Diceros bicornis minor: one gene and its partners. The protein of the gene in region 1 purifies or fractionates together with the protein of each later gene. This does not show direct contact. Links are inferred from orthologs where the notes say so. Each region holds a gene or a part of one and is shown in the gene's direction. Other genes may lie near its edges. The genes, in order: LGALS1, MET, FN1 and ITGA4.

What was found.
Region 2: the proteins of LGALS1 (region 1) and MET purify together in Homo sapiens (affinity purification with mass spectrometry; 3 studies listed by BioGRID and IntAct, with this or other methods). This does not show direct contact. The link is inferred for Diceros bicornis minor from reciprocal best matches to the Homo sapiens genes LGALS1 and MET.
Region 3: the proteins of LGALS1 (region 1) and FN1 purify together in Homo sapiens (affinity purification with mass spectrometry; 3 studies listed by BioGRID and IntAct, with this or other methods). This does not show direct contact. The link is inferred for Diceros bicornis minor from reciprocal best matches to the Homo sapiens genes LGALS1 and FN1.
Region 4: the proteins of LGALS1 (region 1) and ITGA4 purify together in Homo sapiens (affinity purification with mass spectrometry; 3 studies listed by BioGRID and IntAct, with this or other methods). This does not show direct contact. The link is inferred for Diceros bicornis minor from reciprocal best matches to the Homo sapiens genes LGALS1 and ITGA4.

Annotation. Positions count from the first base shown.
Region 1 is NC_080764.1:12,074,362-12,081,454, reverse strand, and holds the start of LGALS1 (galectin-1), read left to right. Parts: upstream 1-4,078; 5' UTR 4,079-4,175; coding exon 4,176-4,184; intron 4,185-5,438; coding exon 5,439-5,518; intron 5,519-6,645; coding exon 6,646-6,817; intron 6,818-7,093. UniProt on the Homo sapiens protein: Lectin that binds beta-galactoside and a wide array of complex carbohydrates. Plays a role in regulating apoptosis, cell proliferation and cell differentiation. Inhibits CD45 protein phosphatase activity and therefore the dephosphorylation of Lyn kinase.
Region 2 is NC_080742.1:67,624,138-67,631,277, forward strand, and holds the start of MET (hepatocyte growth factor receptor), read left to right. Parts: upstream 1-4,130; 5' UTR 4,131-4,189; intron 4,190-7,140. UniProt on the Homo sapiens protein: Receptor tyrosine kinase that transduces signals from the extracellular matrix into the cytoplasm by binding to hepatocyte growth factor/HGF ligand. Regulates many physiological processes including proliferation, scattering, morphogenesis and survival.
Region 3 is NC_080776.1:6,219,823-6,227,785, reverse strand, and holds the start of FN1 (fibronectin), read left to right. Parts: upstream 1-4,950; 5' UTR 4,951-5,172; coding exon 5,173-5,320; intron 5,321-6,255; coding exon 6,256-6,384; intron 6,385-7,312; coding exon 7,313-7,450; intron 7,451-7,963. UniProt on the Homo sapiens protein: Fibronectins bind cell surfaces and various compounds including collagen, fibrin, heparin, DNA, and actin. Fibronectins are involved in cell adhesion, cell motility, opsonization, wound healing, and maintenance of cell shape.
Region 4 is NC_080749.1:61,482,317-61,489,768, forward strand, and holds the start of ITGA4 (integrin alpha-4), read left to right. Parts: upstream 1-4,448; 5' UTR 4,449-4,727; coding exon 4,728-4,924; intron 4,925-5,291; coding exon 5,292-5,413; intron 5,414-7,452. UniProt on the Homo sapiens protein: Integrins alpha-4/beta-1 (VLA-4) and alpha-4/beta-7 are receptors for fibronectin. They recognize one or more domains within the alternatively spliced CS-1 and CS-5 regions of fibronectin. They are also receptors for VCAM1.

The DNA of each region.
Region 1 (7,093 bases):
CACCAGGCCAGCCCCTCAAGGTACTTTTATACTTTTGTTTTAGACGTTATTTGGCTGTGGGGATCTAATTTAGGGGTGACCAACCTCTAGGAATACGTGGGACACTTTCAAAGTAAGTAAATTCAACCTACAAAATTGTTTTCGAATGTAATACAGTTTTTATGACTACCAAGTTTTAAGTTGGAGCACAGTAAACATTTATGAATTTCAGCTCTGCAATTTTAGTATTTTGGAGCCAATACATTTTTTTCCTCAGGTCTCAAATATTTTCTAAGCTCTTAAAAAGCACTTAGTTTCCTGTGAGTCTATAATTATTTCAAAAGAAAATATTAAAAAAAAAAAAACAGAACGGACTCATGCCTGAGCCCTGGAGGGCTAATGAATGACAGAGTCTGGACCCCGCCCAGACCTCATATGAGAGGAAGAGCGGGTCCCCAAAGGCAAGCAGCGGCCTGTATTCAGAAGGGGGACAGACACCAGGTGGGAGGGCGAGAGTGACAGGTCCACTGTGTTTGAGGAGGAGGCTGTCTGGGCAGGGGGGACAGCACCAGCAAAGGCAGAGGTGAGAACGGATGAGCAGGTAAGTGGGGGCGGGCTCTCGCACAAACCAGCTGGAAAAGTGCCTGAAGTTGGGGGCACCCCCCACTAGTCCTTCCTACCCTTCATGGAGCAGGATCCAGAAAAGATCGTTCTTGAGGTCCAGGTACCCCAGGACCACAGTGTGCTTTCCCTGGCTTAGGAGATGAAAGGGCTTCAGCTCTAGCTCCCTGTGTGACCTTGGCCAAGTGGCCACTCTTGCTGCTAGTTTCTGTGTCATTAAATGAAGGAGCAGGTCAGGTGCAGTATCTCTGCAGTCCCTCCCTGCTCTGACTTCTAGGACTCTGGAGCTGGCTCTGATCACCCCCACCTTCCCAGGCCAGGCCAGCCAGGTCGGCTGGGGGCTGCGGATGGTATCCTCGTGGGCCTGGCAGCCCTCCCCACCACTGCCAGCTGGAGGAGACGCAGCCTTCACAGAGAAAGAGCAGGAGCGGGCAGGGCAGGAGGACGAAGGCTAGGAAGGGCCTGGATCCCCAGTCCAAACGAGCTGAGCTCGTTTCTCACGGCAGCAGCCAAGGTCCAGCCCACAGGACCAGCCTGTAGAAGAGAGGAATTCCACAGAGCTCGCCGCCTCTGCTGCAGGGCGGTGAGAGAGGAGGAGAGTCCCCAGGGTGGGGGGCCTTGGCCTTGGCGGGTACAGGAGAGAGAACTAATGCTGAGTCCCGCACATCACTCTTGTAATCTTCCAACCAGCTGGTGAGTGGGTAACATTCCCAATTCCCCGGCCTGGAAACGGTTCAGAGAAGTCCAGGACCTTGGCCACAGTCACAGCCAGGCAACCCCCAAATTAGGACTCGCCTCTCTTCTCCCAATTCTAACGTCAGCTTCGTTTCTGCACAGCTTCCCTGTGCAGACGTTCAACCCAGTTGGCAGACACGAAGCAGCGGGGAGGTGAGGAGGAAATGAGATAATGTATGAAAGCACGGCGCCGGGCACAGGGCCTGGCAGATAAGTGGGCGCCACCACTAGGAGGCCCTGAGGACGGGGTGGGAGTGGGGTCACAGTGCACCTTGTCCCTGCCTCCCCCAGGAAAACCACAGTCCTTGTTATAGGGGACCCAGAATCTGGAGAGACTCTCTGCCAGCCTAGGCAGGAGGGGACTGTTGGGGATGAGGTGAGGGTGGGAGAGCCTGGGAAAACAGACAAGAGGGAGGCTAAAACCTTCTAAGACTGTGGAAAAAACAATCATCTATTGAGTACAACAGACCTGAACTCCACCCTGTACTAACCTTGTGCAGGAGAGCAGGGTTTCACCTCCCCAATTTACAGATGGGGAGACTGAGGCAAGCAGGGAGAGGCAACTTGCCAGGATGCCCTGGGGAGGGCATGGCAGGGCCAGGACCAGAATCCAAGTCTCCAGACTCCCAAAGGGGCCTTTCCAGGGGGCCTATTCACAATGCCATGCCCCCTCTCTACCAGCCCTCAGCTGGCCGGACCCTGGAGGGGAAGAAAGCAGCCCCTCATCCAATAGCAAACACTTCCTGGTGCTGGGCCAGTCTTCCAGGTTGGGGGAAGAATGGAGGAGCAGCTCTTGGGGCCCCGGGGGAGCCCCACTTCTGGGCTGGAACAGCCAGCCAGGCCCACCTGATGGCAGTTGGGTGAGGACTGTGCCTGAAGCACCTCTGGTCCCCGGGCAGGACTCCTGCTGAAATGCCGCCATTTCTCCATCAGATGGAGAGGGTGTCTGGGCCCTTGGAGGGGGAACACGGAGGAAAGGCAGCAGAGCTGGCCCCACCTGCCCCTGCCTATGCTGAGGTTTGGGGGGGGCCCTGGAGGAAAAGTGAAGCAGCTACAGTTGGTTTCTGAGGCAGCCCGCTGGGAAGGGAGGAGGGGGGAGGGGCTTGCAGGAGGTGAGGCCCAGCCTCCTCCCCAGGCCTTCCCGTGGCCCCCCGTGCACTCCCCACTCCTCCTGTGCCAGGGTGGGCTTCAGTCCTCGGGAGGAGGGTGGGCTGGGGAGGCAGCGGAGGGCAAGGCTGGTTTGCTGGCCTGGCCTCCAGATGTGAGTCACTCCTGGTCTGCATCTTCCTCCCTCTTCGGTGCTGGCAGTTTCAGAAGGGGGATGGCAATGACGAGAAGGAGGTCCCATTGACAACTCCCCTAGCAAGCCCCCTACCTCGCCAAGTGCTCCCCATGCCCCTCTCCCCAGTGGTTCCTGGGTGCGAGGTGAGTACCCCTCTGACCCACCTTCAACTCTGTTGCTACACTGATCTTCCCTGCAGCCCAAATCTGGCCTCAATACTCACCCTCCCTATAACCTTCTGTGGTTCCCCAGTACCCTCAGATAAAACAATGTCCAAGCCCCTCAATGAGGCCCTTCATGATCCAGGTACTCCTGGCCTCCCAGCCTCATGCCCCATCTTTCCCCAGCACACCCTGAACTCCAGCCATGCCCCGATGCTCACAGTCCCTAGACCCGTGCTTTCTCATTTCTGAGCCTTTGCCCATGCTGGAACGCCAGTCTCTCCTTCTGCACTCATCCTTCAAGACTCGCCTTCTTCACATTCTGGACAGTCTCCACCCCACCGTGGTGCTTGCTCATGACTTCCCTTAGAGCCAGCATCACACCAGTTCTTGGTTAGTTTCATGGCCAGATTCTGCCCCAGCAATGGGCTACCTGAGCAGGGACTGGGAGGGGTTCATCTTGGAATCCTCTGAGGCCAGCTCAGGGCCAGGACACACGGTAGGTGCCCAGTAAAATATCTGCTAACCGGTTAGGGAAAGGAAAGGCCTGGCCTTGGAGGCAGAGATGTGAGGAGAGTGGGCAGGGGGTGCCTAGAGCAGGGACCCCCAACCCCTCCTGGCCTGGCCCACCCTGGGTCCCCTCCCAGGCCTGACCCTCTCAGACAGGTCAGAGGCTGTCAGGCAGGGGCTCTTGGAGGATCCCCAACCAGCCCCTCAGAAGTGCTGAAGCCCGAGGCCTGAGTCCCAAGTCTGGCGGCCGCCTCAGGCCTGGCACGGGCCCAGCACAGCGGCAGACACGAGCCCTGCTTCCGGGGGAGGCCAGGGTGGGGCCTTGTGGTTAATGGGTCCTGGGCCTCTGCAGAGGTCTGCAGAGCGGGCCACGCCCTGGTCCCTGCCAGGGGCAGCCTCAGGAGCCCCAGCTCGAATTCCCTGAAGGACCCTGCACCCCCTCAGCCATCTTCTCTGGGTACCCCCTGAGCTCAGCCTGCTGGCCCCAGGGCCCCTTCCCGCCAACTCCTGGGCCTAGCTCATCCTCAAACTATTTTCCATTGGCTTCCCCCAATCCCCACCACAGCACAATTTATGGGGGGGTAGGGAGGGATGGAGGAGAACGGGAGGTGGAGCCTGGACCCTGGAGGAGTGACTAAGAAGGAGTGGGGGGGTGTCCACTCTGATTGGTCACCTCTGCTCCAGAACCGGCTTCAGAATTCCATTGACTCCGCCTCCAGTGGCCCCCATCCCTTTCCTGACTTACAATTGGCTGAGCTTCCAAGGGGCGGGGCTCACCAGGGTCTGGACCAGTTAAAAGGGCGAGAGCCGCCCAGGGCCCATCTCTCGGGTGGAGTCTTCAGACAGCTGGTGCCGCAGTCCCCAGGAACATCCTCGAGTCCTCAGTCATGGCTTGCGTGAGTGTGGGGACCTCGCCCCAAGGCCCAGGGATGGTGGAGGCAGACAGCCAGGGGAGAGTGGGGGCAGATCAGGATCTGGGTTCTAGTCCCCACGGTGTGGTCCTGAGCAAGTACCTTTTCTTTTCTGGGCCCAGTGGCCGCATCTGTAAAATGGGGGTGGGCGCCATGGTCCCCCAAGGCCTTCTCTGGCTTAAGAATTTTCTGATTCCTCCAGGGTCTGACAGCACAGTTTTTTCTGCCAAGGTCTGACATTCTGCAGCTCTCTGAGAAATGGGAGTGGGAAGGGTGTGGCCAACTGGGGGGGGGGCACTTTGATGACTCCCAGGCCACTGTTCCTTCCCCCTCCTCCTCCACTCCAAAGAGCCTCCTGTCCCCTCCCCCCTGCAGCTGTCCCCAGTTACCAGCCAGGGCAGAGTCACCCTCTGCTCTAGAGAGCTCTGAAAAGTCGCCAGGATCTGAGAGGCTGTCTGGGAGGGGGCCTGCCTGGGTTAGTGGGTGGAGGGTGGTTCTGTCCAGGCCGGTCAGGCGAAGGCTGGGGGAATTCCCCACCACCCACTCCCACAAGCTGGGAGGTCAGGAGCTAAGGGAGAGAGAAGGAGGCAAGAATCTTCCAGGCCCCAAGGGAAAGAGTTCAAATTTCTGGCAGAAGGAACCACTCGCACTGATTAAGCTCAGGGCTCAATCTTGTTAACCCTGAGCCAGCCAGGCTGCAGACTCCAGCTCTTGGCGGCTCTCCCCTTCTGCAGAGGGTGCAGAGCTCCTTAGGGGTCTCCTCCCCAGCCCCTGCACCTCTCTGCACAGAGGAGCCGGCTCCAAGGGGCTGGTTGGGGATCCCCCAGCTGCAGGCCTCTTCTTCTCCAGCAGAGGAGCAGACCCCTTCGTTTACCTTGCTTTGCCACCAACTCGCAGTGTGACTCACCCTGAATCTGGTTTCTCTCCATCTGTTAAGTGAGGCGATGGGGCATAGCACCCTAGGCCACTCTGAATCCAAAATCCCCAAGCTGAACCGCACAAAGTTCTAGATCTTGGCTTCTAGAACCTCAGTTGTGTTACACACAGGAAACCGACCCGGTTAGGAATAGGCACTTGCCCAGGGCCACACAGAGAAAGAGAGGCTAGAACTGCCACCCGGGTTCTCCAGGCTTCCAGCTGGCCTGGTCAGAGGATCCAGGGTGGGGACGACCTCCGCCCCACCCCACCCCACCCCGGACAGGGTCTTCTGACCGGCTGGGCGTGGTCTTGTCTGCGCAGGGTCTGGTCGCCAGCAACCTGAATCTCAAACCCGGGGAGTGCATCAGAGTGCGGGGCGAGGTGACCCCCGACGCCAAGAGGTGAGGGGGCGAAGGCAGGGCGGCGGGGGATCGGAGCCCGAGGGCCCTGCCCCGCATCTGGTAGGTGCGTGGCCCGCCAGGCCTCGCTCCTCCCTAGGGGGAAGGGGTTAAAGCCGGCGGCCGCTGAGGCTGCTTTGTCCAGATGAGTCACTTCCTCCGCGGGGTCTGGACCATTCCTCCGCGGGCACCATTGTCGCCCCCTTCCCTCCAGCTGGAGCCTCTTAAACTAAACCAGCTGCGGCCTCACCTACCTTGGCTGCCCCCCCCCCCCCCCGGCCCCCGGCCCCCGCTGTGGGCGGGACCTGAGGCTGCGGGGGACAGGAAGAGGGGATGGGAGGGTGTCACTCCCTGCTCTCCTCTGAGGTCCCTCTCTCCTGCGTTCCTCACTCACTCAACCTTTCATTCCTTCGTCCTTCCTTCACCCATCATTAATTCAGCAGCAACCATGTGACCTTGGATCAGTCACCCGACCACACCGATCCTGGGTGTTAATCAGTTAGTGGGGCAAGAGGTGGTTGTGTAGAGGAAGTGAGATGCTGGGTTTCTCAATAACTGTGCTGATGACCCCGATAACGCGATAAAGAGCTGCACACCCCCTGTGCGCTGTTCATATGATTCTTAGGAAGCCATCGGAGCTGGGCGTGGCTCTTATCTCCACCCGGCACATGTATTATTAAGTATTATTTGTTCATTCGCTGCCTCACGGTTATTGAGCACCTACTGTGTGTCGTGCATCATGCCGGGCACCAGGGGTACAGAGATATACAGGACAGACAGGACACTTGCCCTCCCGGAGGTCACCATCTAGAGGGAGTCTCCGACCTTGACCCAAAGGGCTGGGACACAAACTAATGTTTGTGAGAGCCTTGGCTGTCAGCCCAGCAAGACTCTAAGAGGGCCGCCTTGTGCAGCCCCCATTGTGCAGAGGAAACTGAGACCCAGAGAGGAGCAGGGACTTGCTCAAGGTCACACAACAAGGAGGTGGCAGGGCCAGAACTAGAATCCAGGTTTCCTCCTCCCCGCTAAGGGAGTCCTCCTGGCTAGGAGTATTAGTGGGGTACCGAGCGGTGCCGACCGCGGGGGCTGCAGCGGGCTGAGGAGGCCTCAATCCCACCTGTTGCCCCTAGCTTTGCGCTGAACCTGGGCAAAGACAACGACAACCTGTGCCTGCACTTCAACCCTCGCTTCAACATGCACGGGGACACCAACACCATCGTGTGTAACAGCAGGGATGGCGGGGCCTGGGGCGCCGAGCAGCGGGAGTCGGCCTTCCCCTTCCAGCCCGGGAGTGTCGTGGAGGTGGGCTGGGGCTGGGGGCCAGGGGCAGGGTGCTGCGGGGACTGGGGCGGGGCTGGGTTTAGTGGCCAGAGACCTAGGTCCCACCCTGCCCTCCCCACCTTTCCCCCCTCTCCCCTCCTGTCTCCCCCCTCACCTGCTGTGTGATCCCACTGAGTGTTGTCCCCTCTCCCAGCCTCAGCAGCTCACCCGTGAAGTGGGGCTGTGGTCAGGGCCGCGTGAGGAAAGGGCTCGGGGAGGGCCCGTGACCTGCCGCCGTCGCCCCTGCTGTGGGGTCCA
Region 2 (7,140 bases), on another chromosome or scaffold:
GGTCATATTTTTAGATAACTTAACATTGCATGTTTTATTTTTAGAGAGCCCAGCCACAAGCAAATGACCAATACAAATCAACATAAAAGTAGTTCATATTGCAAGAGCCTCATTCTAACCCTTTGTAGCTGGCATTCTTTAAGACAAGGTTTCCCAAAGCATGTTACCTATTAAACTAATTTTACGGAAAATGGCTACTGAAGATGTTATGAGGAAAAAAAGGCATATTTTCGGTTTAGCTTTGTTCTGTTTTGTTTTTCCCTGTGATTTTTCAGAATCTTCAATATTCTAATGTGCATGATGTATCTCTAAAAAGGGTAAGAAGAGTCCTATATCCCCAAATTGTATTTGCCCACAGAAATGATTTGAGGAACCAGCACCTGAATAATTCTTCTTGTCCTTCTGTGGAGACCTTTTCCACAGGCACACTAATAGGGGCAACGGGGCAAGGGAAGGGAAGAGAGTAGAGCGAGAGAATCCAAGAATAAATACTCTAAGACAGGGGTCACAAATCCTAACACCTACAGGAGAAAGTGACGTCAAGATCAGAGGTAGGCGGGATGCATTACAAGAGAAGATGGGATGATGGCAAACTGCAGAACATATGTTCTGTCTATTGCAATTCAAACTTTTAAAAAACATTCTGTGGGCCTAGGCAAGTCTCTACAGGTTGCCAGCATGAAGCCCCTGTGCTAAGAAGATTTCTTTCGTTTCAAAAACAGTAACATGTGAACAAACTTAGAGTACCTTCAAAGATCCCAATTTTAATGTGTTGCAGGGAGAGCAGAAAGGATGTGGCATATTTAGAGCGAGACACTGCTGCTCCTCTCCCCTTTGACCATGGCTACCATTAGGCCATCTCAGGGTTAAGAGATGGGATCTTGCTTATAGTTGAGCACTATGTCATCCACAAGTGTGTAGATAAGGATAGCTCATGTCTTTCAAGCACTTATATTTTACCAGACACTATTCTATGTGCTTTACTTATAGCTCCTCATTTCATCCTCACAATAATCCTATTATCATCTCCATTTTACAGATAAGGCACAGAGAGTTTAAGCCACTGGCCTATAGTTACATAGCTAGCAAGCAGCAGAACTGGGCTTGAAATCCAGGCTGTCTGGTTCTAAAATCCACACCTTTAACTGCTATGCTACACGTGGAGATGTCTTGCTCCTCATTTGAGGGGTATATCAGTTTTGAATGCTTTTGGCCACAGACGACAGAAATCCCAGCTAACAGTGTCTGGAACAAGTATTTTTCTACAAAACAAAATCTGGAAGCAGGTGTCTACTGGCATTGGTGCTGTCGCTCAGCAGTGTCAGAGTCCAACTTTTCTCCTCATGGTTGCAAGATGGCTAGCTCTTTGCTGAGCATTATATATGAAATCAAGAACGCAAGAAGTGAGAAGGGGTGGCACCAGCTTATTAGGGAAACTAAACTCTTTTCCAGAAGTCCCCAATAGACCTCAGCTTAACTCATCACCAGAATGACATCACATGGTCATGTCTGGTTGCAAAGGAGTCTGAGAAAGCAAGTATTTCTCCTTTCCAGCTATAAGAGTGGAGGCAGGCAAGGGAATATCTGGTTGGGAACAGGTGCTGGCTTAGCCAGCCAACAATGTTGGCCACAGGGGTTTGGTTTGGTTAGGAAAATACCAACCGAACTTCATCATACAGTGTGTCACCCATGCCATGGATCCAAGGGAAGTTAAACAGCAACAATTAAAGTTGGCCACAAAACCAAAATTGAATTGTAGAACTCCTATGACCTTTTTTTTTTTCTTTTTTTGCTTCTTTCCTTTTCCAAATATGTGAAATTACTTTTAACTCTTTTCTGGATCAAACCTATCTAGGTAGTGCGTAAAAACTAATTATTTGATTTTCATACACTCAGTTACTTTTAGTTATGCTATTCTTAGTTATGTTATTTTTATAAAATATTATCTCCTTATTTATAATTAATAAATCAAAATGACAATTCTTAATAAGTTTCAAAATTGGACTGAAATTTGTCAGTAACTAGAAACTAGGAAACCAGTGCTGAAAATATATAATAGGTTATTTGGATTTATAATCTATTTTATTTTCCAGTTTGTACTGGATTTTCTGGGTCTTTCTACCACTTTAATTGTAATTTTTTTCTTTTATATTTTTATCATGGCACTCAAACTCAGAAAACCTGTTAAGGCAACTACATAATGCAATCTAAAAATCCAGTTAACATATTGCTATGGAAACCAGGAAACAGAATCAGCACTCTAACCATTCCTTTGGACAACTATGACTAATTATGTGTGTGTGTGTGTGTAAATTCATTAGTTTATTCACCTTTTATTGGAAGTTGGTACTGAACCCCAAAACTATAATTGACCTGTCCATAAATAGGCCCAGGGCCCTCCAACCAGTCAATTAGCATTTTAATATGAACCCTAGTCATTGTTAAATTACACCATGTGATATTAGGAAATCTTCAGTAGGGCTGTGTTGTTTATTTAGCCTTCCCAGGCTGTGGCCTCTTGGCATGTTGTGAAGAACACCTGACTGGGATTTGAGAGCTGGGTTCTAACCTCTCCTCTTCTACTAACCAGCTGTGTGACCCTCACAGGAACTCTCAGGCACTGAGTTTCCTCATCTGCAAAATGGTTCAATGCAGAGTTCTAGCACAGTATTATGTAACGGGAACTTTCCTTTTCCATAAAATTGGGGAATCATGAGGTAATCACATTTGAGGATGGAAACGGCTCTGTGTAGTCCCGGGTAAAGCGCCTGGCACATAGTAAGCTCTCAGGAAAACGGTAACTGTTCTTACTATATTTTCCTATTTTTCATTCTGTAGTAAATAATTCCTGAACCTACACAGTCAATGTCGTTTTGTCCCATGACTGTCAATAACTACCAGATGCCACTATCTGACAAGCCCTTCCCAGAGCCAGAGAGGAGAATGCTAAGTCCTAATAGGCAACGCTCTTCCTTAGATCCTGTTACCTTTGAGTGTTTATTTTCTCTTGAAGGTTAATGTCAATTTTTATATTCAGACATGTGAGATATAAAAAGTTATCCTGATACAACTCACCAAGGCCCTAACACCCTTTTTTTTTTTAAAAAAAAAATCGTAAGATTTCAACATTCAAGAATTAAACTTTTGTTCTGTTTTGCTTGTTCCTTGATGTTTGCCTAGTTATTTAATCAGCCTGTTTCCTGCTACAAAAAAAAAAAAAAAGTGATAGTGAAGTTTCATCAGGGTTCAACTCCTGTGTTGTTCTTCCTTCCAGAAATCCGAGTTATTATAGTAGAGGATAATGGTTGCATAACGATATCCTTGGGACAGTTCGTCCACCCACTCCCACCTCCGCCTGGACAATGAATGCCTTGTTTCCGCGGCGCCCTAACCGTCCTCCCCGCCGGGCAGCGCCCGGCGGCCGGCGGAGCCGCGGGAGAGGCTCCGGGCAGAGCCTCGCGCTTTTCCCGCCGGCCGCGCGCGGGGGAGCGCGGAGGGGGCGCGCCGGGGGACGCTCGCCGCGCGAGCACCAGGAGGGGGAGACTCGGTGCCGCTTATCTCCGGTGCTGCAAACTTCAAACTCCCCGAGCTGGGGGAGGAGAGAGCGCGCAGCCAGGGCGAGGAAACTTCTCCACCTAGAAAGTTTCACCTTGCCGTGGGCGGGGCGGGAGGAAACGCGACCCCCGCGGGGCCAGGCGCGGCGCGCGGGCGGCAGGAAGGGCGGGGGCCGATTTCCCCCTCTGGGTGGTGCCAGTCCCCACCTCAGCGGTCCTCGGACCGGCGGACGCAGCGGACGGACAGTGCGCGAGACAGACAGACACGTGCTGGGGCGGGCGGGCGAGCGCCGCGGTCGGGTCGCCTGGCCGTGCCTCCCGCCTGGACGCGCCCGGGCCGCGCGCGCCGATGCCCGGCTGAGTCACGGGCCGGGCAGCGCGCGGGTGGGGAGGGGCGGAGGGAGCGCGGTCGGCGAGCCGACGGGGCGCTCGGCTGGGCCCGGAGGCAGGTGACCCGGAGGTTCTCGCCGCCCGCAGCGCCCCGAGCCCCGAGCGCTTTGTGACCAGATGCAGAGCCCAGCGGAGGGCGCGAGCCAGATGCGGGGCGACAGCTGACTTGCTGCGGGGAGGCGCGGAGCGCGCCGGTGGTCCCAGCGCGGCTGACTTCTCCTCCGCCGGGTCCTGGGCGCCGCAAGGTAAAACTGCAGTCCGCTTCAGATCCCGTACCCACCCCTGGCCCCAGCGCTTCTCCTCTCTTTGTTCCCCTAAGAGACCTGACTGCTGTTCCAGAGGACGAGACCGGGGAGGTGGGCGAGAGTTTAGGGGCTTCAGAAACTGAAGGACTGTGGCCAGGGGGGAGTCGAAACTAGAATGGGGCTTTTCGTTTTAGGGGGTTGCTTCTGACGGCCACCTGTATGACTCAGGAGAGAGAGGGGCGCAATACATTGCAACAGGGGTTTACATTAGATGTACACTCTGTGCTTTCAGAATTAGTGGATAAGGTTTGTCTGAATGATAAAGATGTACACAGATGACAAGATTAAACCACAGCCAGTCAGAGGAGAGGGTGATGTATGACTGTTATGGCCGGGCAAGTTTCAAGGCTGTGATCTGACTCAGCCCTTACAAAGGGGATCCGGTCACCCAGTCCCAGGGTGATGCAGCCGGCAAGGTTTGAGCCGCAGAGCGGTTTCCTTGTTCCTTGTTCCCAACCCTGCTTTATCTGTATTAGTGGGTGGGGGTCCTTCCAAGGGGCAGGTGTTTCTGTGAAGGTCTGAATTCTTCATTTCTAGCAAATACACAGGGCTTTGTGATCCATCATTTTCAATCGTACCTTCTCTCTTGGCTGGGACTCTGTGGAGGACATCTATCTTATTAGGTGAAATAGATTATAACCAGCGGTCGGCAGTCTGGCTTGTACTGGTACTGACCCAGTAATTAAAGCACCAACCAAAGTATTTTCACCAGCTATTGCCAATGCAGAATTTACTCCCAAGTACGGTTTCCCATTTCATACCTTTTATGTTTTAAAAGAGTCATTTACTAATTTGACAGTTGGAGAGGGTTGCAGTGGCTCACACATGAATAGTTGCCCAGTGTATTTTACAATTTAACAATTTTATCTTCAAAGGAGCCTTGGGGCAGAATGAAATATTGTCAACTCTCTTAGGCAAAATAATCAGGATACTTTAATTGCCAAGTTCAAGATGGTCGATGAATGTGAGAGGATTGTAAAAACTGACGTTGGAGAGAATATAGACTATCTGGACCCTCTCCTGAATTTTAAGAAGACTGTTAACGTTGTGTAGAGTTGGGTGGAGGTTTCTCCTGTCATTTTCATCAGCCAGACACATGCACATTGCCATGCAAATGGATTCAGAAAAACATTATTTTCCTTTACAGCTAAACTATTATAGCTGACTAATGAATTTTTTCTGCATGAGGATGATCTGAAAATGGTGTACATCATGTTTCTCTTTGCTACTGGGACATAAATTGTGCTTTTATGTAAACTGTAAGTGGTGCTCAGATTATTTACAGGTGCATAGCTTTCCTTTCCAGCTCTGAGCTTACTGGGCTTTGTTTTAACATGTAACCGTCCGTAATGGAACAGAGCTGAGATGCTTTGGTTCCAGTCATAGACTGCAAAAGCCTGTGGTGTATTCAGTGTTCATTCTTTTTGGGTTGCTGAATAAGACAGGTGAAATTTACATCACTCATAAGAAATTTTTTGTTGTACCAAAATTTTTTGTGTCTGATTGCCTATAAAATATACTGGTGTTTTAAAAATTCTGTTCGTTTCGAACTTGACAGTGCATAAGCCTGTAGTTATTAACCTAAGTATATTTTGATTTTAATATGATGGAATTTATGGCATATAGAAGATGATCTGCTGACTACTGCTTTTTCTAAGATTGCTTTGTTCTTAATACTTGCAGTAGAGGTTTACATTAGATGTACACTCCGTGCCTTCAGAATTAGTGGATAAGGTTTATCTGAATGATAAAGATGTGCAAGATGAACCACAGCCGGTCACTATGAAAGCTCGTAACTAGTATTTTCATGACTTTTAAACCTACAATAAAAGAAAAATGTTACTTTTCTAAGTGGGGGAAATACTCTTATAAATTCCTTTAAGACTGTATGTGTATGTCCCACTATAATCTTGAAATTTTAAAAAAATTTGTTTTAATGAGGGTTAGATTAAGAAATACATTTCAAAAATCAATTTCCTTAGCTGTTGATTAAAAAATAGTCCAAAATAGCATTAGTCTAAAAAATAGTCCAAAATAGCATTAGTCTAATTTTCCTTTTACAAATGGGTATAATAGCCTCAAACAAACTTTTTCTCAAATGTGGTCATCTCAAAACAAAGTGAATAACTCAAAAGGTCTAACATCCTCTCAGGACGCACACTGTTCTCTAAGTGGCTGCACCAGTGCCTATGGTGACACACCCATGGTGTGTACACAGCTCCCTGCACGTTCAGAGTAGCTCCGGTCTCTCTGCCCCCTTCCTCCTCATCCCTTTCCCTTGGTTTGGTCAGAGCTGCTTCCAAGCCCTTCTATGCTTTTCTCCACTCCAATTTCATGGTTTCTTCGCTGTCATTAGGCTTAATGCTTCTCACCAGACTGTCTATGCTTTCTTTTCCCACCATCCATAATATTCTGTGTTTGTTCATGGAATCCCGAATTTCTTAATTGTGCCACCTTAAGGGGATTGAAAATATGCGGAAGCTCAAGGGCTGGGCATGTAACCTCCTTTACTTCCCTGGTGTATGTTGAAACTGGTGTCTTTGACTCTGAGCCTTCAGGGCAGAGTTTCTCCAAGGGCTTTGCTCATTGCAAAATAGTCACCTCTTAGTAATAAATGGTAGGTATACTGACTGATGTCAACTCAGGATCACTTTGATTCTCTGTTCTTAACAGACACTCAGTTGCTGCCAGGCCCACATTCGCCTCACCAAAAATAGCTAAGAACTGTATGTTGAGCGTTCTATGTGTTTGGTACTAGGGGAACATTTTTTAAAAGGAAGAAATGAAATCTCTGCCCTTGAAGAGTTTAAAATCTAGATATACAGATAAATATCACACATAGAAACTGAACCAAGATCCATAATTATTAAGGGGACATCACACATATTTAA
Region 3 (7,963 bases), on another chromosome or scaffold:
TTTAGCCAATTGCTTTGCACATACTTTCATTCCGGAGGGAGTTCATTAAGTGATACCACAATTTCTACAAGGCTGGTGGTTCAGAAATCGTCATTCTAGTTAGTTTTCTAAGCCTTGTACCCTCATCTATGAGAGAGAGAAGTTGAGAGTTATTTACCTCAGAGGATTGTTGATGGTTGAATGAAAAAATGCACTTAGTACTTAGAATATAAAGCACTTAGTACTAGGTCTAGCTCAGAGTAAGTGCTTGATAAAATCTAACTATTTAACTGTATTTCTCTTCAGGTACTGAAATCTTTATGACCTGGATCACACACTTAAGCTTGCCTTAGCTTTTCATGTTTAACATAGTAATGGTTTTAAATGTCTATTCCATCTCAGTAATATTTTCATAGCTAATGAGAGAATATATCAAATTTATCTAGATAAGAGTTCAACATACAGTTAGAGATAAATTCGATTATATTTATACATGCATGTTTATAATTCAGTTAAATATAATACGAATATCCAGTTGAATACAAGTTAATTTATTATAACTAATTAATCAATCAAAAGGCTACTATTGACCACCTATATCACAATAGCCTATTGTTGGCATAACAGTTTACTTAAGAGATAATGTTTATGGTTATTTTTAAGCATCTGACACAATCTTCATGATAAGCTGCATATGAGACACTGAAATTGTGTGAATGTAAAAAGGATAGAACATAATTTAAACACTGGAAATCTTTCAAGTTTTTTAAAATTTTTTTTCAGCCTTTCAAAACAAACCTTTAAAGCCAACAACATAAAATAAAGCAAAATTAGAAAAAGGAGCAAAACACAAAAATAAAATTTTTCCTAGAAAGTGCTACCTATCTTGGAAAGCTGGAAAGGTCTAGAACACAGTTTTGGTGAAGTGTTCCAGCTACACAGTAGTTAGTTTCATTTTACTGGATGAATTAGAGTCCTTTGCAAAGCCTTTTGGGAGTTATGTCACTCTAATGAGAAAAGAATACTCCTGTTAAAAAACAAGGGGCGTAGATTAAGGCTCTCGAAAGTGCTGATTAAATCATAAAGTAACTCAAATATAAACAAAATGCTTATTAAGTGAAAACTGGCTAGACATCAAGGCATAAATTAAAGCTGTTATCAAGTATTTTTTCCCTGGTTTCAGGAGCCCAGTCAATTCTAGACAAACTGCCCAGACATTCTACCCATGAGGGCTGCCGGTGGCGGGGGGGGGGGGAGTTTTTTTTTTCTCATACCTGTGCTTAATGAGTAGCAGTTTTGCAAGCTTGGCTGTTTTCAAGGGAAGAAGATGGGAAGGATTTCATGCCAAAAAAATAAAGTCAAGATAAGAAACAAAACTACTGTAATTTATCTCCATCCAACCTACCTACTGAGACCATGCAATAGAACAAGACACTACAGGCTCTTAAGGTCGAAAGTCCAAAGGTCACTTAGTCAATGGCCTCCCCTCTAACAGGACTGAAAGAGATTAAGAACAGGATAAAAGCTAAAGGTTTTCAGGAAAACCAGCCCACTTTCGTCTAAATGTAACCCTCAGGGTCAAGAAGTTATTTCTTATCAGGGATAAGATTTTTTTCAATAGGCAAGGGATTTGGCTAGGGAGGGGTATTGTCTGTAATGTGTGTTTTACTCCTAAAGGAAACCCATTTTTCACTTGGAAAAAAATTGCCTTTTAAAACTTATCCCTTAAATTGTTTTAATTTCAATCCTCTTTAGATGACTGGATCTGATAAATTCTTTTTGTGCTTAACCATAATCTTCAGCTCAAGTGAAGACAGTTCAATTCAGATTTCTGTAATTTCTCATTCTCATTAACTTCTCCAAGAACAAAACATCCAAATAACACCCCCACTCCCAATATACACAAATATATGTGCTCCTTCTTGTTAATGAAATTTAACTTGTCTTAAATTTTGGAAAAATCCTATTGCTATGGCAATTCCAAGAAAAAACAAGGCACAGTCCTAGATGCAGATTTGTTCTCTCTCCACCACATACATGCCATCACACAAATACTAGGTTGGGTAAGGAGTTACTGGTATAGAAGAAAGATCCACTACTGTGTTAAAGGCAAACTTCCTCTTAGAAAAATGAGGAAATGAAGACACCTTGTGTATGCTGCAGCCACTTGGGAGCAAGCCCTTGGAACAAAATAAGCAGGTGATACAAATCAAAAAGAATAAAGAAATACCACCTTATAATCAATTTTTTAAAAACAATTTTATTGAGGTATAATTTACATACCATAAAATCCTCCCATTTTAAGTGTACAACTCAATGATTTTTAGTAACTTTACCAGGTTGTGCAGCCACCACCACAATCTAGTTTAGAACATTTATTTCCATCACCCCAGGAAGATTTCTTGTGCCCATTTACAGTTAAGTCCTGTTCCCAGCCCCAGGCACCTGGGAATCTACTTTTTGTCTCTTTTGTCATGTTTCCCTCTCCAAATAAAGATAAGAAAAAGAAATCCAAGGATATTTCCTACAAGTAAAAGGCTACTGTTTACTTAGGAACCCACTCTGCCAAATAGTCTTCAGGATTCTTGGACACTAGGCAAGCCAGTTGAGTCGGAACAGAGTCATCGTGGTCTTTAAGATTTAATTCTCTCTGCAGGTCGAGAAAATAGTCTTACACAGTTACAAGGAATTTTGATAATGAAAGAATACTGTCGCAAGCCTTCTCATCTTAACTAAGAAAATGTTTCCATCTCCACACTTTGAAAAAACTTTCAAGTAAGAGGGTAAACTTCGAAGCATTCCTAAGAAATTCAGTCAAATATTATTATCTTTTTGCTTATGAGACACTAGAGATATAACATTTCCTTAAATTATATTTCAATGAGATTGAAATATAAAAGTTTCTTCTGAAATGTAAGGTGAGCTTTTTTCCTCCAAGTTCTCATAGGTATTTATCCTAATGTATTTTGAGTACAGTAAATATATCAAACTTTCATGTTTTTGGTTGGGAAAATACTTTTGTAACCACTTATTTCCTTCCCCCAGAATCTATGTATTTGAAGAAAGCTTTAGCTCCAGGTTTATCTTGCTTACATCCTGATTTCCAGGTATCCTTGCCTGTGGAAGGAACACTCAGCTTCCCAGAAATTTACTAAGAATTTTACAAGGGGCCCTTTTATATGTGAAAGAGAAAACTGTTTTGTCAAGCGAGGATGAGAAATTTAAAAAAAACTGTAACCCAGACGGGACTCTAAATTTGGGGAAATCCGTGGCACTCTTTCAACTTGAAATGTTGCTCACAAAGATTCCTCAAGAAGTTATTTTACACTGCATGTAGGAAACTGATATTTGCTGTGGGTTTTTTTTGTTTGTTTGTTTTAATTCCCTGCATTAATAAAAACACATGTTAGTTTTGTATCTTTAATGTGTCAGGCATTTTATAGACTCTAGAGTTCGAATTACCCCAGGGCAGTTACTGAAGGTGGAACTTTTGGAGAAAAGCACTTGCAGAAATAAACATTTTGCTAGTAGCTTTCGTAAGTTCTCGAAGCAAACAGGAGGTCTGCCCTACTAACATAAATCGAAGGCAAAGCTTTGAGTTTGCTTCTCTCAGGAGTTACTGAAGAAAGTTGTGGACTCCTTTTAAATATCTTTAAAAGCAAGTGTGACTTGTGTTTGCCTGAAAAAAGGCTAATGTGACGAGTTGCTAAATGCTAGAGACTTCTCATATTCCCTTTCGACCTTCTGAGTTTAGAGGGAAAGCGGGAGAAATCTTAAATGGGAACTTTACACGTTCTTGGAGTTAGTAACGATTGAAATATTAAAAATCTGGCAGCGGGGCTGGGGGAGGGGGATTCTGTGATGAAACTGATGTCTACCAAAAAAAATGCCAAATAAACGCAAGAAAGGGGCTGCAGGAAGGCAAGACTGTATACGGTCTGTCTCAGTTTTTAGTGAGTCACACAGGATCTCTGCATTGTGTGTAACGGGCATGGTGAACAGGGACAACGACTTGAAGATCTTTCTCTCTCCACGGACTGTCCAACTTCCCAGTTTCCCAGTCCACGACTGACTTCACTTTCAGTGGAAATAGACGTCCCATTCCCAGGAAAGGAAGACTTTCCTGCATGTTCAAAAAAGCAAACTGCCGCTCTGTCCTTTCAAGAGAAACCCCAGAAACCCCGTTCTCTGAACTTTCCCCAGATCCGCCAAGCGCCCCGCAGAACTCCTGGTATTTAGTAGAAGCTCATTAAAGGTTGGTTTTTCTCCTCTGCCCCCCAGCTAGCACTTCCTCAGAACCGGGCAGGTACAGCGTGTAGAAGGAGAAAAGTCTGGAACAGGGAGCTGTGAAGGCAAAGAAAGTGAGTCCCAAGTCAGTGCACATTGGACCAAAGAGAGGGAATGGGAGAAAAGCCAGCCCCGCCCCGGGACTGCCAAGTCTACATTCCTACAGCTGCAAGGTGGTGGCTCCTTTATGGTTTTCCTTCCCCCAAAATACACTCCAGTGAGCTGAGATTTTTGTTGAGATGACGCAATGTCCTCAAACCCCCCTCCACCTCAAGAAAAAAGAAAAGGGAGCGGGGGGAGGAGGGGAAGACTTGCAACCCCTTCGCTTCGCCCAACTGCAGCCCCTCCCTTTCCTCCCAGTCTACCCCTTTCCAGCCGCTTCCCATCCCTCCGCCCTCAGCCCCCAAAAAGTTTGACGACCGCAAAGGAAACCGAAAAAAAAGTGGTCTTGCCCCGGTCCTGGCGGGCGATCAGCATCTCTTTTGTTCGCGGCGAACCCGCAGTCCCCCTGACGTCACCCGGGGCCCGGCCAATCGGCGCGCGGGCGGCGGCGGCGGGAGGAGGTGGGGGCCGGGCCGGCGCCCCCCCCCCCGGCGCCCGGCCTCGCGGGGGGCGGGAGGGGACCGGCCCATATAAACCGCGGCCCTCGGGGCTCGGCCGCCCGCGCCGGCTGCGCTGTGCAGGGGGGGAGAGGGAGCCCCGGGCGCGAGCGAGGAGGGGACGTGCAGCCACGACTTCTCTCGTCCTCTCCTTCCCCTCTGTCCCTCTGCGCGGCCCCGGCCCCATCCTCCGGCCCCTGCCCTCTCCGAGCCACTGGAAGGGACTCCTCCCGCAGGTTGCGAAGGGAACCCAACTTGGTGGCAACTTGCCTCTTGGTGAGGGCGTCTCTCCCTGCACCGTCTCAAGATGCTCAGGGGTCCGGGGCCCCGGCTGCTGCTGCTGGCCGTGCTGTCCCTGGGGACGGCGGTGCCCTCCACCGGAGCCGCGAAGAGCAGGAGGCAGGCTCAGCAAATCGTTCAGCCCCCGTCCCCGGTGGCTGTCAGCCAAACCAAGCGTGAGTACCGAGCGCGGGCTGAAACGGGCTGTGGCACGGAGGGGACCGTAGAGGCGACCAAAGTTGTGGCTGAAGTTTGCGCGCGCGCGTGTGTGGAGTGTGTGCACGCCTTCAGGAGAGAAATCGGCTGTGGATACAAAAGGCTCTTGGTTTGAGCCGGCTGGTTCTGAATGCATTGGAGGACAGGGGCTCTGCGATGTCCTGCAGGGCTCTCATCAGCTACACGTTCAGGTCGTCCTCCTGTGATTCATCAAAACTTGCCTTTAAAGCGAAAAATGCTGTATGCCTTTGAATTTTCCAATTGGAATCAGCGTGGTCCTTATGCTTCTTATTTTCTTTGTTACTAAATAACTGGTCAAATATTTTCAAAACCAGGGAAGAGGGTAGCTAGATAGCTATGTGGTTCCTAAGTAGCTTGAAAGAGATGTAATTGGTTCAGATTGTTCAGGGGCCCCTCAGGATACTTCTCCAAGAACAGAGATTGGAATTCCTCTTCCAGTTTTTTGAAGACACACCCTCCCTATGCCTTGGCTAAAGGAAACTGCTTCAAGTTGTCCTTTAAAGAGCACTGAAGTTCCTTGCATGTTTTAAGATGTAATTCCAGTTAACTGCTTTTCAAAATGTTCCACTCCTTTGATGTAGACCCCTGGCCAGATGGAAGTGACATCATTGTATAACATTTAGCTAAGTTAAACCGGGGAAAAAAAAGGAATACCTAAATGTGTACGTGTACAAGTTGTGGTTAACTCTTTAGATAGCTTGTTTCTATATCTATATACTAGTGGAATATTACTTTTAATTCTCCTGGTGCTCTATGATTAACTTATTTTTCTGTTTGTTGCTTAGGCTCATCAATTTAATTGTACAAGCAAATTCCATAATTTGGAAAAAGGGGGAATGCAAATGTAATATGATTTTCCTTCAATTATTTACAGCTGGTTGTTACGACAATGGGAAACACTATCAGATAAACCAACAGTGGGAGCGCACCTACCTGGGCAATGCCTTGGTTTGTACCTGTTACGGAGGGAGCCGAGGCTTTAACTGCGAGAGTAAACCGGAGCGTAAGTGGTGGCGAGCCTGGTAGTTAGTATCTTTTAATAGATGGAGAAGTGGTGCTTATTAATTAAACTTAACATTAGTAGTAAAAATGCATACACCATTTTCCCAGTAGAATTGTATGTCATTTCCTCTTTAAAAGTGTTTAATAACTGCTTATATTTGCTTTTCACATGTTCCTTTTACCTTTAAAACAAAAGAATAAATGTATCCCAAAGTAGTTCCTAGAGTCTTCTTTTTGTTTTACTCTCCCAAAATTTTTGTTGAGAAAATGAAAGATTTTGTGTGTTCTCCTTCAAAAAAATTGCTTATAAAATTTTAATTATTAGAAAGTAATCTCAAATCTTAAACTGTAAGATTCTGAGCCAGAAAACACTTTGGGTACTCTATTGTAAAGTGACTTGTCACACAAAACCACTAACCACTTCAAAGTTCTCATTCCTTTATGACCATTGATGTGTTTCTTGTAAATTATAGCACATCCTGCGGAGAAGCCCTGAGGAGGCTAAAATGGAAAGAGTAGGATTAGCAAGTGACCAGGCTTGGTGGGAGGTGGGGCTCTTCAAACTGTTTGCTTTTTGTGTGGACCTTCGTTTGACTTTCTGAGTCAGAGACCAGAATCTGAACCATAATCTAGACCATAATCTAGCCTGTCCGAAGGGAGTATGTTATATGGCTTTTTTCTAAGGGCCTGAGAATCCTATACAGTAGAAATTAATGTACAGATAATTAGAGAACTTGTCAAAGCTCAAAAACTAAGGCTTTATTAGAGCCTAGGATAATATCCAGAACTCTCACTTCAATTTTTTATAACTTTCCGTTGTCCCATACTACTCCTGGAATGGAAAAGTGGGTTTTCCTTTGGATGGGATTAGTGGAATAGGATAACTTGTACGTATGTGAGGCTCACATGGACTTGCCTTCTCCCCTCAGCTGAAGAGACTTGCTTTGACAAGTACACTGGAAACACCTACCGGGTGGGCGACACTTATGAGCGCCCGAAAGACTCCATGATCTGGGACTGTACCTGCATCGGGGCTGGGCGAGGGAGAATCAGCTGCACCATTGCAAGTAAGAAAGACGTTCTGTGAAACGACACTGAGATGCCATAAATGGGGATTTCTCTATTACCGTCCCTGTCACTTTCTATTATCCGTGACTGGATATTCCTAACTTTGGGTGGCCAGATACTCAACGTGGTCACCCAGCTGGTTCCTGTGTTTCTGGCAGATGGCTCTGAGCACAGGTGGAATCAGTGTTTAGTCTGTGTGGATTTATGAGTGTGTGTGTATGTACATAGTGTAACCAAGTGGATCTCCTGGGTTCCATTCCAGTAAGACGTGCTTAGAGGAGCTGCCCATTTTACATTACCTGGGCATCAAGCCAGGGTGATCATGTGGTTATCTGCAGTGATTGGGAAGATGGTTATGAAGAGTGACTTCGCCCTTGTGTGGTCTGCTCTTCTTGTTTGCAATGCAGAGACCTCTTGCATCTCACAGAAACGGTGGGGTTTCATTGTGACCAATAGTTTATACCTGGAAGCAGATCTCGCTATTCCCGGAGATAATATGGAATAATTAGCCT
Region 4 (7,452 bases), on another chromosome or scaffold:
ATACTTATTGAGCACCTGCTGTGTGCCAGGCAGCATATCAGGTGCTGGAGATATAGTGGTGAACGACAGCTACAACATAACCCATGTGTTCTGCTCTTGTATTCTAGAGAGGAAGACACAATGAAAAAGTGAATACATATATGATTATACATTAAAGAGCTCTGAAGAGAATGAACAGGATTGTTTGTGAGAGAACAATATGGTGACCCATTTTAAGTGGATGGGCAGGAAAATCCTCTGTGAGGAGGAGACCTTTAAGGTGCGACTGAAGAGAGGAAGCATGGGAAAAGTCAGAGGTGTGTCCAGGCAGAGGGAACAAGATGGGCAAAGGCCCCGAGGGTGACAAAATCTTGATGCACTTGAGAAAATCAAGCAAGGCCGATGCGGCTAAAGCAAAGTGATCCTGGGGGAAGTGGTCAATGGTGAACAGGCAAAGCAGTCAGAGGCCAGATCGTAGAGTCCTTGCAGGCCACGTTAAGTGTGGTCTGTATGGGAAGAGCAAATGGGAAACTATTTAAAGGATTCAAGGGAGGGAGGGGCATGCATGATTTGATTTAGAATTTAAAAGTTCACTTTAGCTTCTGTGTAGAAAATTGATGGTGTGGGCGAGGGATGAGTAGGTAGCAGATTGTTGAACAGCCCAGACAAGATTACTGCCCTTGGAAGAGGGTGGTAGCAGGACAGAAGAAGATAAATAGGTGATCTTGAGATATATTCTGGGGGTCAAATTGATAGAACTTAATGATTGATGGATTAAATATGGGGAATAGGGGGAGGAAAGATCAAGGATTTTTCCCCAAATATCTGATCTGAACAACTGGGCAGATAGAGCGCTATTTTCTGGAAAGTGAGAGATTGGGTGGAGACATAGTTTAGTCGCAGGTAAGGAAACCAGAACTCAGTGTTAGATATGTTATGTGCACAGTGCCCACTAGACATCCAAGTAGAGACATCGGGTAGGCAGTGAAACATAAGAACCTGGAGCTCAGAAGAGAGGTCAAGGCTGGAGACATGGGTTGGCTACTCACAGTGGTATCTAATGGTATTATGTAGCTAGTATTTAAAGACACGGAAAATGGGTTAGATCTCCTAAAGAGGGAGGAGGGAAAGAGAAGGAAAGAGGGCTCAGAAGGGAGACCTCAGGCTTTCCAACACTTGTGGTGGAGAAAAAGAGCCAGCAAAGGAGACTCAGGGTGGCCAGACAGAAAATGAGGGGAGCTCAAAAAAGGCACTATCATGAGAAGAGAGGCTTTCAAGAAGGAGAAGTGCTCACTCTTGATAACAACTGAGAAGTTGCGTGAGCCCATAATAGAATCCTCTCTACTGGGGAAAACTTCCTACCAAGGATAGAAGCCACTTGTGTTTTGTCTTTTATTCTTATTTGAGTCCTTTTTGCAGCTCCTGGCACATAGTGGGCACTTGATATATAGTCGAGCGTCACTTAATGACGGGGATATGCTCTGAGAAATACATTGTTAGGCAATTTCGTCACGTGAACATCATAGAGTGTACTTACACCAACCTAGATGGTATAGCCGACTACACACCTAGACTATATGGTACTAATCTTAAAAGACCACCCTTATATATGTGATCCATCATTGACTGAAACGTCATTATGTGGCACGTGACTGTATATTAATCAAATGACACATATTAATTGAATGAATATTTAAGTTCAGTTGAGGGTGAGTCATAGGCATAAGTAGCTTTTAAAAGTCCTCCTCTTCTACACCTTCATGCCACACAGCCCCACACCCAGTTGTCACACTTGCCTACAAAAGCATTGACTAGAGAGAGAGCAGTATCTTCAGGCTTTGTGAAAGCAACATTAAACATCCTTTATTCTTACGGACTTAGGAAAAGTGAATTGTTCTCTAAGCCTTGAGGGAAGAAAGCTCAGGGCTAACACAGCATGTGAGGTAGTAAAGGGTGGCTGTTTCTGGAAAGGTGGTGAAATCATAACCATAACTGCAATCGTAGAAATAAGGTCCTGCCCCATCAAGAGCGCTACTGGCCGCTACTCGTCTTAATCACGCTATGAGAAAAATTGTGTTGAGTAGATTTCATTGTACAAGATCTTGGTGAAGGGAGGGAAAGAAAGAGGTAGGGTTTCAAATCAGTGGCTCTGACATTGTCAGAGTCTGGAGGGTGTGGGAGTGCCTTGATATACCTGCTTCCCCGGCCTCACCGGGAAATTTTGTGGCTGCAAACTAGAGGGATTGCTTGTTTCAGAGTGATGACAATGTGCTCGAGTTGTAGAACTGGGTTGAAATCAGCACATAGATCTACTCAGAAAGAAATACACCCTAAGTGGAAAAACAGAGCAGGACCATTCCCCATGGGCCCCAATAGCTACTTTTCTGGAAGCCATTTCCTTTTTACAATAGATGTATCACACACCATTATCTGACTTTTACTTTGTTGCAAATAATGAGAGGGTTACCTTCCTCCTGTTTTGTGTGTTGACAAAAGAGTAAAAATAATTGGGTGGGGTTTGGCTAGAATATTCCATAAACATCTCAAACTCCACCTGTCTAAAACCTAATTCATCAGTACCCTCCATCTGTACACATTCACACACACACACACACATGCATGCATAACCTCATTCCTCCAGTGTGTTTTTCTCTATGAATTAGCAACATATACCCAGATCCCAAACTCGGAACTTGGGCATCATCCTGACTCCTTCATCTCAGCTCTTCATTGGTATTTACCAATACTGTCACCGAGTTCTGTTGGGTTCTATCTCTCAGATATCTCTTGAATCTATATTTCCTCTATCCCTTCTGCTCTTTGCTAGTTCAAGCCACCGTCATCTCACTGCTCATGACTGCAGGAACCTCCAAAATTAGGTTTTCTGTATTCAGTCTTTTCTTCACACTTCTGAAAACCCACAGCTGACCAAGACAAATCCTTGAACAGCTTCCTGTCAGCCCCAGGATAGAGTTAAAAATTCCTAACCTGGCTTAAGAGGTTCACCATGTGTTCCTACTTCCCTGCTCAGCCTCCTGTCATGCTAACCTATGTGAGGGCAGCTCAATGCTCCACCAAGACCACCTCTTCCAGTTCCTCTACCTGGCCCTGCTGAGCCACACCTCACTCCTCCTCTCAAACTGCTTAGCCTAACTCAGCCCTCCTTGTCCTTCAAATCTCTAAGTGTCGCTAAAACATTCAGAACTTTCTCTAGTTAGTAAAACTTTGTCTCTCTACCACTTGGGTGAAAATTTTCCTGAAGGCTTCTCCTGCCTTCTTCACTGTGGTAATCTGTGGGCCTAGCAATGTGTCTGCTCAATGAATGTGCTGAATAAATGAGTATTTTAATTATGTGTCTGCCATTACAGCTTAAGACGTGCTATTTCAGTATCGTTTTAAGGCACACACACACATTCTTAGATGAACCCTCTTTCTTTCTTCTTTTGTGTTTTCATATAGCAATAATTAACAACTGGACCTGCATCTCCTGCAAATATTGGCCTAATCATCTAGGGCTGTCTCTCTGGTTGTTCTAGACAGCAACCTGAGCCACGTCTGGATTTCATTAGGATGCGAATCATCGCCCAGGTCAGGTGTATTGTGCTGTGGGTCTCCAGTGCATTTTCAGAGGCTGATTATGGTGTCTGTCTCTTGACCTCACACTGGGTGTACACCCCCGATGGCAGGTGTATCCGGTGCAACTGGGTGGATGTGTGGAAACGAGGAGCATTGAGAGCCTGAGAGAGGAATCCGTTGAAATGAGGCGAGTCACAGTGCTTCCTTAACCCAGCCTCGCTGTTGGACCCAGCAACGGCCTAAACCGCGTGCCATTCAGCCTGAGCGCGGCTGGTCTGCCTCCTCAGGCGGGCAGCCTGGATTTAAGAGGAAGTGTAGGCAGGAAGGAAGTGGGCATAGAAAGGTGCAGGGCTCTGAGTCTTGAAGTGAATAGCCATAAGGTCTTTGTCACCAAAATGTTCCTCAGGGAAACTCAGGGAGTTCCTTTTGTTTGTTTTTAATTTGTGCCCCCCCGGTTAATGTTTCTCGCGGTTGCTTCCGTCCCAAAAATCAGATACAGCGCTTAATTATCAACGTAAGATCGGATGGTTCCCCGCCGAAGTCTCGGTGCTCGGATTTGTAGCTGGCCTTTGGGCCATGCCGGGCAGGCCGCGGAGCCTCTGCGCTCATAGTGGGGTGCGCGCGGTGTCGGGTTGGGGCCACGCCGCTCCGCATCCAGGCCGCAACCACAGTTAAAAGGCGAAGCCCCGGGCCCCTTTCAGCTCCGCTCTTGCAAAGCCCCGGGAGCCCCGAAGCATCGCGCTCAGCGGGCTGGGAGGCCCCGGCCCGAATGCGCGTCCCGAGCAGCCAAGGTCCCCTAGCGCCCCCTACAGCCGTGCGCGGGGGCAGACGGCGCCCGGTCCTGCGACTCCGCACCACGCCCGGGACCCCACCCAGCGGCCAGCGCCCCGGGACCGCGCGAGCACCCGCACCTCCCGATTGCAGAACCCAGGCGTGGGGCACAGAGGGCGGGCGGCATCCAAGGCAGCCCCCGATTGCCCCGCCCGCGGCGGCCAGACTTCCCCTCCCTCCCTCCGTCCCTCCCTTCCTCCCGCCCTCCTTCCCCCCCGCCGGCTGGCGCCGGACACGCTGCGCCTCTTCTCTTGGGGCGTTCTTCCCCTTGGCCGACCGTCGCATCCCGCTCAACTGGGGACAGTGGCCGTTTGGTGTTGAATGTTTCCCTCCGAGAGCGCATGGCTGGAGAAGCGAGGCGCGGGCTGGGCCCCCGAGGGGCCACCGTCCGGGAGGCGGTGATGCTGCTGCTGTGCCTGGGGGTCCCGACCGGGCGCCCCTACAACTTGGACACCGAGAACGCGCTGCTCTACCAGGGCCCCCCCAACACCCTGTTCGGCTACTCCGTGGTGCTGCACAGCCACGGGGCGAACCGATGGTGAGTGGAGTCGGACTCGGGCGCTCTCGGCATCTCACAGCCGGCGTGTGAAGGGCTCCTCAGGGATTCCCTGCCTGATTCAAACTTTCCCCCCTCTGGAGGAGGCGGAAGGGGAGTGCTGCGACGGCCAGCTCGCCAGAGATCTGCTCTGGAAACTAACTTATCTTGGGGGTAGCAGCGCCCGGGGTGCGTTCTGGCGCGAGGCCCTGGAGCTGCGAGTTACGGGTGGCTGGTTGGGTGCGCGGGGTGGTGGGCGGAGGAGGAGGTGAGGGAGCGGCCCCGCTGCCAGCTGCATGTCTGTTGAGACCAAGAATTCAGTGGGCAGCACGGCTCAAGTCTCCGCGCACGTGCACATTTCTCGCTTTAGGCTCGTGGTGGGGGCGCCCACGGCCAACTGGCTTGCCAACGCTTCTGTGGTCAATCCCGGGGCGATTTACAGATGCCGGATCGGAAAGAATCCAGACCGAACGTGCGAACAGCTCCAGCTGGGTGAGTTGGGTCTGGGACCAGGAATGAATGACCTCCCACTTGTGGACCCCACCGTAGCACAAGTCCTGGAAGACCTCAAGTTGCCTGTTACTTCTAGTCTAAAGCGAATGATTTTCACTCTTAACTCCACCCCATCTTTCCTTCTTAACATAAAAGTGGCTTCCTTCTTTCTGTCAACATTTTTCTCCCTTTTGCTTATGACAATGATTGCAGTACCCTGACAAAACTATGTAGAGGAAAGTTCCTTACGATACATTGTCTATCGCCTCTTCCTCTCTCCTCCCGTGTGTAAAACACGTTTTAAAGTCTCTCAGCACATTAAGGACAGGATCCAGCTAAACCAAGACTTAAGAATTTTATTTCCATCTTTGACCTATTAACCTTGTTGAAGAACAGGCTAAGGGGCAGATCAGGACTAGCAGTTGGAATTGATCCCACATCCTGTCATTTAGCCTAAGAGCTTTCTAAAAAAGAAAATGATATAGCTTTACTTAGAATATGAAATGTAAAAAACGAGCACAAAGGAAAAATTGGCATCTCCATTGTTACTAGAATTATAGTGAGGCTTAAGGTATAATTATTAATTTTCCTGTCCCAAAACTCTCATGTTAAATGATACCTCTATTCACAGTCATTTCTTAGTGCCTCTTCTTAGATTTGTGACAGTTTGAAAAATGTGTTCTGATGGGGGAGGGGGGAAAGTTCATGTTTCAAAGCTAAAGCAAAAGCAAATTTGCTTCTCTCAGACACTGGGGGGGTCGGGGGAGTGGAACGGGAAATGGAACTAATGTCAATTCAGACCTATCTTGTTCCAGACACTGTTTTATTGCTTAAGTTTTTTTCCCTCAAAGCACCACTGGGTCATGATTGGCATTGTTCCTGCCCCACGTGAGGACTCTGTGACTCAGAGAGTTGCAAGTACGTTTTCTGAAGTTACTCAGCTAGTGAGTGGAAGATGGTATCCCAAGTCAAAGTCAGGTCCCCTTGGGTCTATAGTCCAAGTCCTTTCCCCTCATGTATGCATTTTCAATGCAAATAAAATTAAATGAAGAGTCCAATATGTTGTCTGCTGAGCTGATGAGTCATCTGTAAATTGTGAATAGGAGGTCACAATTGGTACTTTTTTCATATTTATCTTTGCTATCAATGGACTTTTGAGATTAGCTAGTAATTGCATCTTTATCCCCTTTTTCTTTTTACAAAGTAGTCTTTGCTTCTTCTCAAACTGGGAAGCTGGTTCTCTTCATTTAGAATGAATTCAAATAGAGTATGCACATAATGGAATTTTTATTTTTAACTCAGAGAGCATCCATAAAAGTCTAGGAGTTGTCTGTAGCATGTAGAATAAGCCCCAGTCTCTCATTAAGCGTCTTCCATCCCAAAAGACAGACTAGGAAAGCACAACATGTTCTCAGACCTATCCATTTAGAATAATTCTGCAAAGCATAATTTACATTGCATGGGAGGGTTGTGGGATGAAGAATTAGGGAGGGGAGCAGACAACTTTGTTCTGCCAGAGGATCTTGATGAGATCTCCAGAGGGAAAAATTTCATTTCTGTTGTCCTGTCATAGTTTCCTATCCCTGACATTATAACTACTGTTATTTAGCCTCTACTCCCTGTCTGGAAGGGCACTGAATCAATTTCTAGGTGTCTGTATTTAACTGGAAAGATCATGTCATAATATTATATAAAATTTAAGATAATTGTGCCTGTCAAAAGTGAAGGAAAACCTAAATTCTTTGGGCATGTGGAGCACAGAGATTGACTACAGAAATATCCTCAGAGAAATGTGAGCATGGTAGATGTGCAACAAACATGAATTAAGTGAAGATTTATTGGATAAATGAATACAAGCAAAGTGAAAGTTTGATTGTCATTAGCCTGAAGGGTGAATAAAAGAACTAATTAGAAATAGCAAGCCAAAGTGATTTTTTTTAACTTTCAAATTTTTGGTCAATAAAAAAGGTATTTACTGAGATGAAAGGCAAAAAGGAAAACAAGATTTCTAGTCCATCAACTGGTTGAAACATAAGAGC